Nothobranchius furzeri: one gene and its partners. The protein of the gene in region 2 interacts with the protein of the main gene of each other region in a biochemical or structural test. Links are inferred from orthologs where the notes say so. Each region holds a gene or a part of one and is shown on either strand. Other genes may lie near its edges.

The links. The genes of interacting proteins can lie anywhere in the genome.
Region 1: the proteins of fgfr2 (region 2) and fgf7 form a complex in vitro, tested with the Homo sapiens proteins (3 studies listed by BioGRID). The link is inferred for Nothobranchius furzeri from reciprocal best matches to the Homo sapiens genes FGFR2 and FGF7.
Region 3: the proteins of fgfr2 (region 2) and lrrk1 form a complex in vitro, tested with the Homo sapiens proteins (2 studies listed by BioGRID and IntAct, with this or other methods). The link is inferred for Nothobranchius furzeri from reciprocal best matches to the Homo sapiens genes FGFR2 and LRRK1.

What each region holds. Positions count from the first base shown.
Region 1 is NC_091749.1:43,170,364-43,174,958, forward strand, and holds part of fgf7 (fibroblast growth factor 7), read left to right. Parts: intron 1-2,587; coding exon 2,588-2,694; intron 2,695-2,789; coding exon 2,790-3,002; 3' UTR 3,003-4,595. UniProt on the Homo sapiens protein: Plays an important role in the regulation of embryonic development, cell proliferation and cell differentiation. Required for normal branching morphogenesis. Growth factor active on keratinocytes.
Region 2 is NC_091752.1:4,206,311-4,213,001, forward strand, and holds the start of fgfr2 (fibroblast growth factor receptor 2), read left to right. Parts: upstream 1-3,054; 5' UTR 3,055-3,290; intron 3,291-4,533; exon of another isoform or gene 4,534-4,554; intron 4,555-4,657; 5' UTR 4,658-4,732; coding exon 4,733-4,913; intron 4,914-6,691. UniProt on the Homo sapiens protein: Tyrosine-protein kinase that acts as a cell-surface receptor for fibroblast growth factors and plays an essential role in the regulation of cell proliferation, differentiation, migration and apoptosis, and in the regulation of embryonic development.
Region 3 is NC_091749.1:7,380,047-7,385,946, reverse strand, and holds part of lrrk1 (leucine-rich repeat serine/threonine-protein kinase 1), read right to left. Parts: intron 2,419-5,900; coding exon 2,301-2,418; intron 2,203-2,300; coding exon 2,086-2,202; intron 1-2,085.

The DNA.
Region 1 (4,595 bases), on a different chromosome or scaffold from region 2:
AGGGCTGGAATCAGCTTTGCTTTTGCAAGTTCATGTTTACAGATTGAAGCGAGACCCTTGGTCAGGGTGAGGATGCTGTGTGTAGTTATCGTTTCCTCCTATCTGGCAGTGTGGCAGGGAGGAATGTTGGCTTTAAAGAAGAAAAAGATGCTTTTGCAACAACTGGCACTGACAGACAGAAAATTTGATACGCCCATACGTGGCTGACAGGTGCACGCTACTAGCAGAGTGAGTCCGACCAACGGTCCGGTGACGACGTCAGCTCCAAGTGGTTGTTTATACAATGAATGTCATATTTTTGACTCCAGTGGACAAATAGTATGAGTTGATTACAGATAAGCTTTTAAAGGAAGAAAAAAAGAAAAATCTTGTGCTCCTGTGACAAAAAGCTGAGGTCCTTTCCAACACATTTGTTCTTGGATCAAAACTCAAAACATCTGGAAAATGTTTTTAATTATTCACTTCTTTTCTTTTTCAAAGTTTTCTCCCTTTCAAAATAAAAAAAATGCTGGTCATTTTGGGAGTCATATTATAAAAATTAAATATATTTTTTGAACCAATGTTGTTTGACCAAACTAAGGAATATACTTTATTCATTCATTTATTCATTTATTTATTTATTTATTTATTTATTTATTTGTTTATTATTTCTTCACATGACCCACTGGAATACACATTCACAGAAGGCACAGTTCAGTAAGAAAGACTTCCCAGAAGCCAAAGTTTATATACTTATATAGGCTTATAAACAAGGGCCCACATAATCACTAATAACACTACAATCTACATTTATGTAAAAATAGACCTCTAAAGCAAACAAGTTAATGTAACAATATAGATATTAACTTTTATAGTAAACAAAACAGTTTAATTTAAATTAAGATTGCTAAATTATTATGTAAAACACAAATTATAGTCTTAAAATTTTAACAATTTACTTTTAGGGTATTAAAATGAATACAAAGCAGCATGAAGGCAGCGCACAGCCATTTCCATATAGGCCTGTCCATTAATAAGAAAAAGGTTTTAAAGAAAAGATTTTTTTTAAAGATGAGATATATTTTACAAACCGTGTAAGAGTTGGAGGAAAACATAACATTTTGGTGCAGATCAGGATCTGTTAGTTCAAACGTGTACACTTCTAGCTTTTCTAAAACATCTTTAGAAATAAAAAGTGTGTAAACCTTTTTATCAGTCAATGTTTTCAGACACTATTCGTGTCTAACTAAAAGGCAAAGCCTTTAATTCAGAACAGTAAATGTGAGACTTTCCAGAGAAATTAGAATAAATATTTATCTGACAAATGATGGAAATCTGTTTAATCTGGGAAAAGGTTTTTTAATGTATGTTTGGGCCTGTGTTTTGAGTTTTCACAGAGAACAAAATAACTAATATTAGTTTTACTACAAGAAAGCTCATCCATACATCTCTGGCTTCCCCAAACATAAAGGACACAAATGGTTGACTGGTTTTGAATGCATCAGGGAATTAAATGAATTTTACCTTTAATCCTGATGAACAAAACTTAATCAGCAGATCACAGAAGCAGGATGAGGAGAATATCTGGTCCAACATGAAGTGTAAGAAAAGCACACACTAAATTCCCAGATTGGGACATGACCATCTGTTTGTAATCTGGCAAACGCTGATGTGTGTGCATGCTCACTGTCATTCTGACAGGTTTTAATAGCTATTGCTCTTTTTTTCTCCCTTTGCCTGTCAAATGAAAGAATTTTTCAAACAGAAAAGCATTCAAAGCTTTATATCAAGAACAGAGAAAAAATCCCATCCGGCATCTGGATCTCATTTTTGTTCTTGATATAAAATAATGTTTATCTAAGAATGAAATTTGAGTCTCAGCGTTAAATATTTATAATCTAACATCTCAATGCTACCAAAAAAGACAAAGCAAAACTTTATATTTCTTTACTTTATTTTCAGCCACAACCTTTATTTATTAAACACTCTCACACAGCCTGCGGTCAAACAAAGTGCTGAACAAACCATACACACAGATAAAAACCTACAATTATAATAGATGAAAGGATTTACATAGAAAGTAGCCAGGTGAGTATACTGATGTGCTAAATTGCAAATACCTTCTATGTAAAAGGTCCCTTTTTACTGAACTTTAAATGAATTACAGCTTTGAAACATTACACTTAAAAACCGCAAGTGCAAAAAATCTATGCTACGTATTCTAATAATTTATGTGTAAAAATATTGAGTAGAATTTAAAAATAATTCCCCCCAAAAAGCTAGCTTGGCCATTTTTACCTTCTCACAAATCTGACGAGCACATCTAAATTGTGGCATGCAAAGCACGTGCAAGGAGGTAGTTTCCTCAGTCCCATGGGAGGGAGGCCTAATCTGTCTCCCATATGTGCCAGTGGCATAGGTTATGGTTTGCGTAACGGCCACCCAGGCAAGTTAACAAGACTTGAACCGAGCCAGAGAGACCACTGACTGATTCATCACAGCAACTTCCCTTTTCTTTGTTAATGAAGATGAATGTTGAGGTCAGGATGGAGGGTGACAGTTTCTTATCTGTTCTGCAACATGTCTCATTTTCTGAACCGTCTGGCAGGCATCCTCGAGATCAGAACTGTGTCCGAGGGAGGAATCCTGGCCATCAAAGGTGTCAAGAGCCAGTACTACATCTCTATGAGCAAGAACGGGAAGCTGAAAGGAAAGGTAAGGCTGAGTTCAGCGGCGATGCAGTCAGGTAGCCCTACTACATCTCTTAGTATCATCAGGACCAAGAACTGACCATTTGTTTTTCATTACAGAGGATCTACAGTGAAAATTGCAACTTCAAGGAATTTTTCCTAGAAAACTACTTCAATGCATACGCCTCTGTGAAGTGGAACAAAACAAATGAAATGTACATAACGCTGTCTCAGAAGGGAATGCCACAGCGGGGGAACCGGACCAGGAGGGAGAATGTGGCATCTCACTTCATCCCGATGAAATGCAAGGAGGAGGAGAGGAGAGTGGAGTAAAAGGGGCTAAGGACTTAAAAAGTGAAGGACTTCATTCACATTTATATCGTATATCTCAATACACATGTAGCTTCATCACAAACATCTCGCTCCAACCTCCGACTGTGTACTTTCTAAACAGCAAACCTGGACACTCAGGTAAGGAAGACACCAAAGCTCAAATTCATAGAAATCTCAGCAAACCTACAGTGAAAGTTCAGTCAATGATGTAATTATTTGCAAGGATCATCCGTGTGAGACCAGAGGAGGAGACCTGTAAAGAACCGGGTCGGACTTTTGATTCAAACAAGAAGTGCTGAAGCAAGCTGGACTTGTCTTTGATCATTGTACAGAATGTGGACTAGATCAAAATAACACGCAGTAAAACAAGAAAGACTGGTGTGTGTGTGTGTGTGTGTGTGTGTGTGTGTGTGTGTGTGTGTGTGTGTGTGTGTGTGTGTGTGTGTGTGTGTGTGTGTGTGTGTGTGATCTGTCCTTCCTGCATTGACTCTGGTCAAATGCACTGTAGCTGCTCAGTGACTCCCTTTTCTTTATTAAAGTGTTAATTTGAAATGCTAAAGTATTTTGCTGCTGCTGACATCCAGACTAAAACACAACGTAAGCAACGTGTGTGAGCTATATCCTCTTTTTCAGAGCTAATACTCCTGTACACCAAAAGACTGCATATTTATTTGTAAAGATACTTTCTTCGCTTTCTGTTTAGACATTCCCATTTTACCATGAGAGATGCCTTTATTTAATCAGAAAATGAGTGAAAATTAATTTCAGAAACATTGTTTAAGCTTTACATTGTAGGACTTTATCATTAATCATCACTTTTATTTCTTTATTTAAAGCAAATGTATAAAAAGTACCTTTTTACGGTGTGTCGTTCCACCTGGATAAGGTCTTATGGACTGATTTCCTGTTGTTTTCTCCACTAGAGGGTATAAAAGACCTATAAATAAATTAATTTCTATATGCTTATAGAGTTCATCTGGTTAACAAAAATGTATTAGATATTTTTCACGGTTTCTTTGCCTACATCACCATGTAATGAACCACATCTTTATCCTGCCAGTATTAGAACCATGACATTACAAGCATTGGAGGAACTTGAACATGCATGTGCACATAGTTTACATGTAGTTTATTCTGTTTATTTTTGATCAAATTAAGATTATTCAAACACATCATACCGTCTGATCTTCATAATCTAAGCCTGCAGAGAAACAACTACAGCATCTCATGTTTACCTTAAAGTTTTGCCCAGACGATTATTTATTGTTTCCTGAATATTTAAGATGATGCAGTTTCACTCAAAGGCAAACACTGCAGATTGATGGCAAACTCTCTACTTGACAACAGAAGGTTCACTGCTCTAGTCACAGCAGTAACGTAAAAAAGGGGACCTCTTAAATAGAAAGAAAAAATAAAACAATAGAAGATGTGCTGGCAGTCTGCCAGAACATGCACACACACTTATATAAACACAAGTGTGTATTCTCCAAAAGAAAACCACGAACATGACGAACACGAAGAACCTTTGGCCTGAGTTCACATCTGGCTTGGAGAACCCCTGTCAGATCAAGACGGTGGAATCGGGAGAGCAAA
Region 2 (6,691 bases):
GGGGGGGCAGTCACTATTTTTAGGGGGGCATTGCCCCTCCTTGCCCATGCCTACATCCGGGCCTGCACTACAGTGTATCATTCATCCATTCACACACACATTCATTAATTCCCTGGTGGGCGCACTGGCAGAGGCCACTGGTCCCTCCAACCACCACCAGCAGGCAAGGCGGGTTGGTTGTTTTGCCCAAGGACACAACAGCAGCATTCTCTGCCGGGAGACGGGATCGTTCCTTTCAGGGCAACCCGCTTTACCCCCGAATCTTACTGTCTGGAGCTGAACTCTTATGTGGCTCACTTCTAGCTCCTCCAACAGGTGCACCGGAGCTTTTTTTCCCCTCCCGAGTACGTCCTAAGGCGTTTGTTCCTACTAGAGACCACTGCAAACGTTTTAAAAGTATGATTTTAGGGCCAGAATGTATTTGATGAGAATATGAACGAGTTAGGGTTCCCTCCTTGTTCCAGACCCTGGGACCGATCTCTGAATAAACTGCAAGGAACCAACAAGAACCTGCAGATGGGGATTCAGGATCAGGAATACCACCTTAAATGAAGAATTTCTGAAAGCATCATAATTCTTAGTGCACATGGATTTCATAAACATGAGCGCCTTAAAGACATTTAATGTTTTCTATGGGTCGGTTTTGCGTTTCACTCAGTTTTACACACGAAAGTGCTGCTTTGGCCACGGGGAGGCGCTGTTTGACGTCTGACAGATCCGGAGTCGCGCTGTGTGTGTGTGTGTGTGTGTGTGTGTGTGTGTGTGTGTGTGTGTGTGTGTGTGTGTGTGTGTGTGTGTGTGTGTGTGTGTGTGTGTGTGTGTGTGTGTGTGTCAGTGGCGGTTCGACATGGAATTACTCCCTGGGCGAGGCCCCCTTTGAGCGCCCCCCCAACCGCCCCCACCACCACCACCACCACACCACCCCACCTGCACGAACACACACGTTTTCTACAAACAGGCATGTTTTATTAGAACGACTACTGAACATTCATTTTTCTAAGTTGCACATATTTACATTAATTACTATGAAGTTGTCAGAATGTAAAGCAATATACATTATGTACTGTATCAAAATATATAGAATCAAATATACAAAAACAACTAAACTAACTAAATATTAAGAATATATGCACATAATATATAATAAATATTCTAAATAGCAAAAATATTTCACACATAACAAACTAAAGATAATCACTACAGCATTGCACTTACAACAGAAAACACAAACTAAAATTAAAACCTAACCTTGATGCAAAGTCATCAATAATGTCATCATATGAAATCTGCTCCCCTACTGAGTGATTGATACTAATCAGAGCCAGGTTAGTGAGCCGCCCCTGAAATATAGGTGACCTCAGGTATGACGATCAAGTTTTGAAAAGCTCCTCTCAGCTTGAGCCACAGTGACTGGCAGAGCAGTCCAAAAGTTGGGGTAGATCTCCAATAGATCTTTATCATGATCCATAATATTTTACAATTGCCTCTGAAATTGTAATTTAAACTGACATAAAAAAAAACTGTAGACTACCAAAAATGCCAACTTTTACAGAACAAACCAGGTAAAAAATAATCAGTGCAGCCATCTGCAATAAATAAACAGGATAGTTAGTGGTGACTGGGGTGTTTTCTTCTGCTTGTAGAGTTGATTTATTTATTATTATGTGAACTTGATCAACATGTGTTTGTTGTTGTTCATGCAGGCCACAGGCTACAGCGAGCATTTAACAAATCCTAGTTTGAATCAGTAAAAAACGATTCAAGGAATTTATTCGAACCATTTGAATATTCGTTTCAATATTTCAGCCCTATTAGCTCTGTTAGCAACTAGTTGACAGAATTTAACCGTTAAAATCCCAGTTAACTGGTTCAAAAAATTGAAAACATTCATCATGAGAGCGAACATACCTTTATCTTTATCCTCTTTTTTTCTTTTTTATTCCTGAATCGGGCACCTGTTGGTTTTAGCCTTTTTATATTCATCTCTTCTGTTTGGCTCTTGACTCAATAAGTTTCCTTTAGTCAGGACTAAACAATTTGACCTTGATGGGGGGGTGACCACAAAATCGTTTTGTTTTTCCTTTTTTTATTCGGCCATTTCACACAATTCAGAAACACCTGAAAGAATGATAGGCCTGTGTTTATGATATTATGAATGAAATGTGGAAGAACATCAAGATGTGATCGACTTTAGCCATGTTGATACAGTTGATTCAGCCCCTACCCTCTCAATTCATTTGGACCCACCAGAGGTGAATTCCCCCGCCGCACCCCTCCCCTTCCTCTTCTTCATACACACACACGGTGCACGGAGCGCCTGCAGCTGCAGGGGGCGCCAACTTGCTGTTTCCAATCCAGACACTGTCATATGACAGATAATAGAAAACCTCGGTGAGGCGCAGATTTCCTTTTTTTTTTTTTACTCAGCGCTTGTGCGCCCCTTTTGTGTCATGAAAAAATGCCGCCCCGGGCAACTGCCCTGTCTGCCCGTGCCTAAAACCGCTACTGGTGTGTGTGTGTGTGTCCGCAGCGTAATGGGCGGAGGAAGGCTGGGCCCAAAGGCACTGCGGCCAGAGAGCGGCTCAAATTACATTCAGGAGGTGCTCGAGAGTAGGGAGGAAGGGGGAGTGACACCCTCAGATGGAAGGCGGAGGGCGGTGTGTGTGCGAGTGTGTGTGTGTGTGTGTGTGTGTGTGTGAGAGAGAGAGAGAGAGAGAGAGAGAGAGAGAGAGAGGAAAAAATCTAGTAAACCTGACAAAGAGTTGGAGAAAACAGTCCGGACTGTCGGAGGTAGAGGAGACTGGGACGCGCGAGGCGCAGCGCAGCGCAGAGACGCACACTGATGGATTTTAGGACATTCCGCCTGGGACAGCCTTCAGCCTCCTGCCACGTCCTTTAGCGCCAGAAAACTTTATGTCCAGTTGACAAGTGCGCTAATCGGGAGCTCTGGACATGTTCTGCGCTCTGGGAGAAACTTGGTGACGGAGAGGAGCGGTTCTGAAGGGAGAAGCAGCGGCTTGGGTTTCTGCGCTGTTTTCGAAGGATAACTCTGGACTCGGATTTCTGCGCGTGACTTTGGACCACGGTGCCGCTCGGTTTTGGAATATAAACACTTCTGATCAGAGTCGATGTCTGCTTATTTTGGAAGCTGGAAAAACAGGACAGCGCCTCTCCAAACATTTTTCCTGCATTGCGTTGGAGACATTCTTCTCCCTGGATTCACCTCATGCACTCTCCTCGCGTATCCGTGCATGCCTAAACACAGACCTCCACGATTTTAGTCCGCACTGGTAAGCGCTGTCTGCTCAACCCGGAGTATTGTGCGTAAAGCTGGAAAAAAGTTCATTCATTTGATTTACATTTCTTTAAAATCTGTAACGTGATGAAACTCGCTGGATTCTCTGAAATGCGCGCTTTTGTGTCCTTTTCTGCACCTTTTCTGCAGAACTAAAGAAAAACAACGATCATTTTTTATATAATTAATAAGTCTGAGGAGGAGGTCCACAACACCTTGCATCATCACTTTAGGATTCCATTCGCATAGTCCTGGTTATTTATTACTTTGCTTCATTTTCTAACTTTGCATTTAAGGTGCCAATTACCCTGTGGCCGCCGTTGTTTTTCCAACGCTCGGTGCCGGAGCCCTAAATCACAGAGAAACTCCAAAACGAGCCCCCACTGTCGGGTAACAGCCAGCTGATTTGAATTTCAATAGGAATTCAGGCAGAGCCAAGAAATTTCATTCAAGGGTCGGGTTTAAATGAAGACAGTGGTGCTTGTTTGGAGCAAAAGTTGCACAGGTTCCGCAGTGGAGAGCGCATTTCTGTGGTTTTGTGATTTATTTGCCGAGTTTTTGCTGCAGAATAATTTAGATTTGGCTTAAAAACACAAAATCCGAGCAGTTTCAATTGTTTTGCACAAGTTTTATTAACTCGTTTGATTACGGGCTCTTCACCTATTTGCGCAAAAGTCAAGGATTTATTCAGGTTACAGGTTAGTCAGATGATCTGGTTTCTCTTCAAAAGGAGAGGGAATCAGATTAAAGTTCACTTCTTTAAACTACGTTCTCTAAATTTCTCCTTACGTGTCTCGTTTGTGAGTAAACCTAATCGATACGTCCAGCTGGAACGGAGCGTGGAAGCGTGACTTCAGCAAAAACCCTCAAGAGACGCGGAACCGCAGATGTCTGGCTAAACAGGCAGACGTGTGTGTGTGTGTGTGTGTGTGTGTGTGTGTGTGTGTGTGTGTGTGTGTGTGTGTGTGTGTGTGTGTGTGTGTGAGTGAGTGAGTGAGTGAGTGAGTGAGTGAGTGAGTGAAACTGGTCTCATTAACAAATCACTGGAGTGCAATTAATTAAATGATGATTATAAGGTTGCGCGCGTCTGGAGCAGGATTTACGCATCTGTTGCGCTGCGCAATTTGATGCCATTGAGGCTGATTTAAAGCCCTCCGCCCTCATCAGTTTGGAACATCTTCCTGTTTTTATGCACCTAAGAGGACTTGTTGAGGTGGGGAAGGTGATAACGAGTGTTTCTCTGGTGCTTCAGAGCGTCGGTACGTCTGTGGTCTGGCTTGTTTGGCAGGATTGTTAAACTTTGTAAAAATTAAACGAAAACCACGATTTGTTTGTCTAACTTTTCTCTCCAATCCTTCACAGTCCAGGTGACTGGGTGAATTCCAGTGAGTGACAGCCTAATCCAGCAGCAGTTGATGGTTGGGCCGAGCCCCTCAGATGGGATCAGTGTCCAGGGGGAGGTGGAGAAGGGGGGCATGGGGAGCTCTCACCCCCTCTAACGGGATGGCCTTGTGGGTCTGGTTGCTGGCCTCCGTCCTGCTGTCCCTTCTGACTGTCAGCGTGGCCCGGCCGCCTCTCACCGCCACCAAAGTGGAGGAGGCAACCCTAGAGCCTGAAGGTAAGCAGCAGGAGGATGAGGAGGAGCAGATGAGCCGTGATGGAGATGGGGTGGAAATGACACATGGTGGGGTTGTATGTCATTTTAGTGATAAAAGCTTCATTTAGCTTCAGAAAACTGATTTATTTATGTTCAAACTTCAAGAAAATCCAGTAAATTGGTGGAAAATATTTAAGCAAAAAAAAAAAAACAAAAAAAAAAACAAGCTCACTCAAAATTGGGGGGAGTGAAGCGAGGGTGGGGGTAAAACAAACAAGTGAGTGGAAAATAATTGACCTGAATGTAGCGAGGTGTGATTTTCCTCACAGAGAAGCGATTCACACCGTTTCGTTTTCCTTCACTGGTGTGTGTGTGTGTGTGTGTGTGTGTGTGTGTGTGTGTGTGTCCTGGCGTCACGTTGCCCCTCCTCGCCTGCAGAGCAGAAAATGAAGAGAAAACCAAAATCCGATTAAAAATCTTTTATTGCTTTTCTTTTGTTAGGAAGAAAAAAATCTTTAAGTATTTTTTAGCTTTTTTCCCAGAAAACCTCAAATTTTCTTCATGCTTCTGCTTTTCGGACGAGTTCATAGCTGTTGTGACGATGCTGAACCACATTCCTCTGCTCTTTGTTCTTTAATCAGGAGGGTAATTTAAAGTTAGCCTGAGAGCATCACACACACACACACACACACACACACACACACACACACACACACACACACACACACACACACACACACACACACACACACACACACACACACACACACACACACACACACACACACCACACACACACTGTACCCTGCAGTCGTCCTTTGCCCCTGGGGTCACGAACTACCCCGGCCCGCCGTGATGAGAGGCTGCCTGGGCCTCGGCGCTCCTCTCTTGTCCTGTTTTTCCGACTCAGACGGTTTGGCTCCCAGCCGCTGAGCCTGGCGTTCCACACACGGATAAAGAAGACGAGGACTTTTTCAGAGTTACACAATCCCTCCAGGAACGCTCTAAGAGGATCTTGGCACGTTTGACTTCTGTAGGTGGAGAGATTACAGAGAACTGCTCAACGGTGAAGTCATGTGACTACAGGGTGGGTAAGGAGGGGGTCATCACATGATGAAGAACCTCCATAAATCAGAGAGAGGTCAGATGTTCTGACTTGTGCGGCGCTGATGGAGATGTTCAGACCCCCCCCCCCCCACCTGGGCCTGTGGGAGCTGAAACCCTGCAGAAACACCAGGCTGCATATCAGTGTGGCCTCTTTAGGGCCCACGCCTGCCCCCCTGGTGGCCCTGGCTGGTTTGTTTACCTGCTGCTGCTGTAACAGAAGACGTGGAGCGAGCGCTGGTTCAAGCCTCCACAACAGTCCCATTGTTGCCGCTCCGGCATCTACGGGAGTGTTTACCTTGTTCAGGCGCTCTCTGTTTGCACAGCGATTAAAACACACAGACACAGCTGAATAACAATGGCACCAGCTCTCCAAAGGTGTGAGCGTTTTGGGCATTTTCCGTCCCGTGGCACGTTCAGGGACTCCGAGTTTTGTTTTTGCTCGTAGTGTGGAGGAAATGTGCACACTGGAGCGAGAGCAGCTGACAAAAGTCAGCTCATGGCTTGGCTTTGCGCCTCGAGTTTTCTGCCAAACTCTGTTCTTCTACAAAAAAATGCTCTGATCAGCATGGAGGCAGTTCTTCAAAATGCTTCAGCGGTTAAATAAATACAGACTCCATTATGGATGGACGACGAATCTTAGAGAGACACAGGAAAGGGACAGATGTCAACAATCCAGCTTCTGATGCTCTGCT
Region 3 (5,900 bases), on a different chromosome or scaffold from region 2:
TGAATGAATAGGCTGTTCCCAGAGTGCTGTATCAAGGCACCTCAGTGGGAAGTCTGTGGGAAGGAAAAAGTGTGGCAGAAAGCGCTGCACAACGAGAAGAGGTGACCGGATCCTGAGGAAGATTGTGGACAAGGACCGATTCCAGTCCTTGGGGGACCTGCGGAAGCAGTGGATGGAGTCTGGAGTAGAAACATCCAGAGCCACCGTGTACAGGCGTGTGCAGGAAATGGGCTACAGGTGCCGCATTCCCCAGGTCTAGCCACTTTTGAACCAGAAACAGCAGCAGAAGCACCTGACCTGGGCTACAGAGAAGCAACACTGGACTGTTGCTCAGTGGTCCAAAGTACTTTTTTCGGATGAAAGCAAATTTTGCATGTCTTTCTGAAATCAAGGTGCCAGAGTCTGGAGGAAGACTGGGCAGAGGGAAATGCCAACATGCCTGAAGTCCAGTGTCAAGTACCCACAGTCAGTGATGGTCTGGGGTGCCATGTCAGCTGCTGGTGTTGGTCCACTGTGTTTTATCAAGGGCAGGGTCAATGCAGCAGCTATCAGGAGATTTTGGAGCACTTCATGCTTCCATCTGCTGAAAAGCTTTATGGAGATGAAGATTTCATTTTTCAGCATGACCTGGCACCTGCTCACAGTGCCAAAACCACTGGTAAATGGTTTACTGACCATGGTATTACTGGGCTCAATTGGCCTGCCAACTCTCCTGACCTGAACCCCGTAGAGACTCTGTGGGATATTGTGAAGAGAAAGTTGAGAGACGCAAGACCCAACACTCTGGATGAGCTTAAGGCTGCTATCGAAGCATCCTGGGCCTCCATAACACCTCAGCAGTACCACAGGCTGATTGCCTCCATGCCACGCCGCACTGAAGCAGTCATTTCTGCAAAAGGACTCCCGACCAAGTATTGAGTGCATAACTGAACATAATTATTTGAAGGTTGACTTTTTTGTATTAAAAACACTTTTCTTTTATTGGTCGGATGAAATATGCTATTTTTAGAGGAATTTTGGGTTTTCATGAGCTGTATGCCAAAATCATCAATATTAGAAACAATAAAAGGCTTGAACTACTTCAGTTGTGTGTAATGAATCTAAACTATATGAAAGTCTAATGTTTATCAGTGCATTGCAGACAATAATGAACTTTATCACAATATGCTAATTTTTTGAGAAGTACCTGCATAAGTTCAATGTATTACTATTATTATTATTGTTATTATTATTATTATTAAAAAACTCACCCCCACATCACTCCCACACCAACCATCACATCCTGCAGGGCAAAGTCAATGACCCTGTTTCATTGCTATGTTTATTTATTTGGCAGACACTTTTATCCTTAGCAACGTACAATTTATAACCTATAGGGGATGTTGTGATCTGTGAGGGGAACCGGAGTGCCCGGAGGAAACCCACGCGTGTGTGGAGAGAACAGGCAACTCCACGCAGAAAGACCGCAGCCAGGTTTCAAACCTGTAACCTTCTTGCTGCGACAGTGCTAACCATTACGCCACTATGCAGCCCATGTGATGAACAGGTCAAAGGAGCCCACAGATTGATCTGACGTGGAGGCAGAGGCTGTCTCAAGTGTAACAAAATTTTTCTATACTGGTTAAGGCAAAGGATAGTTTTCTCAGCAATACGTAGGGCAGTCAGGACCACATGAATCGAATTAAGGGGATGTCATTCAAGTTTCCCAGCAAGAAAAGTAAAGGGGAAGTTATACTTTGACCAGTCTTCACATACTTGGCACCAGAATCCCTGAGCCAGTGGACAAGACCACGTGCATGAACATAATTGTCAGGAGTGTTGTCTGTGTATTGCTTACAGGTGTCAGACAGTGCAAACCTTATCCTGAACATCCACTGACTTGTATATTGTACTCTGTGGAGAATTTTGCACTGGACTGATTGTAATTTAGGCTTCCTGGTCATACTAATATAATATAATATAATTTCTAATACTACCAATATCGTTACTATGATCATCCAGAGGACTCAAGACTAGCATGTCTCCTCAACACATTGATATATTGAGACAAAGACCTGAACAGAGTTAGTTGAGAGGCAGACTCACCTGTGCTCGTGCTGGAACATAGAACAGACATGTGATCACAGCCGGACAAGAGAACTGCTTTTGGGGTTGACTTAGTGGACACATGTCCTTCAGACTGTAGATGAACATCTCTTGTTCCTTTTACAAAGTTACAAAGAGCAGTTCTTATACAAACTAATTTATTAACTCAAAGACAGCATTAGTTTTCTGTATTTTAGTGTGGGCAGGTGGCATACCTCAGTGGACATCCACAGGGTGTTTTGGATCTTCATTTGGCAACTGATCCTGCTGCCTGGACAGGACATCCTCTTCACCTCCATTTGGCCGTTCTCCACATTCACAACACTGTAGGTCCTAAACAACCCACAGAACATCATCAGGAAAAAAATAATCAACCAATTAGTAAACTAGTTATTCATTCTTTTATTCTAAATGCAGGTAATGTCTGGAACCATTTTGAGCAGGATGTTTCACAGGGTAGCTATATGAAGGGATTTCAAAAATACATTTAATACCTTTTAATACGTTTTAAGACCTTCTAAAATAAAATTAAGATAATTCAATTCAGTTTATTTATATAGTGCTAAATCACAACAAGAGTCGTCTCAAGGACCTTCCCACAGTAAACATTCCAATACAGGTCAGTTCATTAAGCCAATCAGTAAAAAGTTTCCTATATAAGGAACCCAGCAGGTTGCATCAAGTCACTGACTAGAGTCAGAGTCTTTACAGCAATCCTCATACTAAGGCCCTGTCCACACGTAGCCGGGGATCTGCCAAAACGTAGGTATTTTTCTACGTTTTGGCCTGTCATTCACATGAAAACTGAGTTTTTTTCACACGAAAACGGATCTTTTTAAAAACTCCGGCCAAAGTGAAGATCTGCGTTTTCTCCGTTTTGGGTGTCTGCGTGTGGACGGACAAAACCAGAGTTTTAAGGTCCGCAACGTCACTTTCCGCGACAAAAAAATGCTGACATCACGTGTGCGACCTGTGTTTACACTAGCCGACAGCATGGATGCCCTCAGAGCTGCGCTCGCTTTATCAATTGTCCAAGCGCTTTTTGCTTGTTTGTTTTTGCAAGCGGAATTACTGCTCCTTGCGGAAGACCACAGACGAAGGACGAGGTTAAGAACGGGGGAAGTACTGCCGCCTACAGGTCTGGCATGTCCTTAACAACGTATTTATCCGGGTACGTGTGGACAGTTTTTTTTTTAAACGAGGTGGTGTGGATGCAAGTTTTTGGAGGGGCGGATATTCGTTTTTAAAAAAAAACCCGGCTACGTGTGGACTAGGCCTAAGCAAGCATGCAGCAATAGTGGAGAGGAAAACTCCCTTTTAACAAGAAGAAACCTCCAGAGGATCCTGGCTCAGTATAAGCAGCCATCCATCAAGTAGATGGGAGCAATTCCATACAGAAATTTAAATTCAGTGACTTGAATTTGATGCAGGCAGCAAACGGTAAGTTGATGGAGCTCAATGATCAGAAGGGTGACTAGTGCTCTTTCAGGCTCACCGAAGACCAGAGTTACCAAAGTGTTCAGGACAATCTGCAGATGCTTCACTGTCCAAGCTGGGAGATCAGTTAGAGGGGTATTACAGTAGTCATGGTTAGAGATGGCCATGTTGCGGTAGGTATGGTCCATCTTTCGTGTGTTAAACAATCCAAAATGACATGATCAAGTCATAGACGCAACTTGATCTTCAAAGGTCACCTGGTTATCAATCATGACCCCCAAATTTCTAGCCAACTTTGAGATTCAATTCAATAATTTTATTTCACTCAAAATTTTAATATACAAACTTCAAATCAGAATACAATTGCCAACCAGAATATAAGCATTCGAGTGAAATAGGGGGAGGAAGAAGAAAAAAATTGTATATGACCTACCCCCTTTAACGAAGACAAGATAAATTACAAAAAGTACAAAATGGCCTTATACACAAAAAATAAACCGCTCTCTTTCTTCCACAAATAATATCAATACTAAAACATTAATCCCCCATCCTTAACTCGCCAAATCATACGATTTTAGCATTTTATCTTTATACATTTTTTTTAATTGACCAGTATTTGTACATTTTTTTAATTCATCATCCAGGTTATTCCATAATTTCACACCAAATATTGAAATACACATTTGCTTTAATGTAGTATGAACAAATATCCTTTTAAACACTGGTTTCTTTCTACTCTTATCATTTTTTGGGATCAAAACAAAGAACCTTTGTAGATTAGTTGGCAGTAAATTATTTCTAGCCTTAAACATAATTAGTACAAATTTCAAGTTAACTAAGTCTTTGAATTTCATAATTTTAGATCATATATTAATATAAAAAATAAAATATTTGTTAGTATGTTCTCTCGGATTTGCGTTATATAGAATTCGCAAAACTATATATAGATATAGAAACAGAAGTAATCAACGTATGTGATATTATCGGGCTGTTTGGTTGGTTTGGCTGGAAAGAGAAGCAGTCCAGTTTCAGAAAGGCTGTGGAGGTGGTGGGTAAATACATGGAGCAGTATAAGTATGGACTTGGCTGTCACTCTGGCTTCTTTTAAGGCTTTTGTCACAGCCAACAGAGATATTTTAAGCCTGATTTATACTTCACCGCGTTGGAGACGCACACGGAGTGTCGGAAAGGTTTTATATGCAAACAGGCAGTGGAGCGTTGCAAAACAATTCCCCGCCAGGACAACAGAGGGCGTAGCACTTTTCTGTGATATCCTGCCACCATAACACTCATGTATCCGGTTCACAATAGTGTATTCACTAATGTGTTTATTTATTTCAGAGACTCCTCCACCTCTTCATGCAGTCGCCACCTCTAAACCCACGTTTCCCATCATTTCCGTCCGCATTTGCTCCGTATTATGTACTCCTTCACTCACGGGTGAATAAACATTTATACAGTATTTTCAAAGTTTTTCGGTAATGTGTTCTTCAATCTGTTCTGGGTCTGCCGCTAAATATCTTCTTACTTTTTAATGGGGCAATGGCGGTGCTGGTGACGAACATACAGGAAGCAGCGTCCTGACCAATCACAAGCTTGCGGCCTCCGTCACTTTCGACGGGTGTTTAAAAAATTTTGGGCATGTCTCCATCACCCTCTGTGAGCCTGTCGGAGAGCTCTTGCACCAACGCATAATGGCGTTACGCATCTAAGACTATAAAGTATAAATGAGGCTTTTGTGGAATGGCATTTTTGAGATTATTTTGGGTCAAAGAGGTTTGTTTATGAGAGTCCTTCAGATAGCAACGGTAGGAGTGAGACAAGTTCACAGTTCTCTATGAGTTGGAGGGAGGGCAGCTTTCTTGTGCAGTGGTAAAACACGGGAATACTTAAGTGAGGTAGGAAATGTACCAAATGTTAATACAGCATAAATCACATGACTGGCTGCTACAGTTACCATAGAAAACTGTTCCAAATGGCAGTGGGACAGCTATATGTGAAACATTTTATTTATTTATTGTTTTACTGTGTCCTGTCCAGCTGTGAAGCGATCAGAATTAATGTCTGAATGCTGAAGACAAGCCTTACAGTTTTCTCTCACAGGTGGAGCGTTATCATCATCATCATCAACCTTTACTTATAAAACACATTAAACAATCTTTTAGTCTTTATGAAATGTATATTTATTCAGAGGTCCCTACTTTATTTTGACTAATTAATTAGCAAAACTGAAACATTAATATATAAGTATATATATTATATTTTTTTCTCCCTTCGAATCTGGGAGGGCGGAACCCCAGCTCCAGCTATGGACGAGCCCCCAGGGGGCCCAACTTGATATTTTTTCATGGGGCCCAAAATCTCTGGCAGCCCCCCTG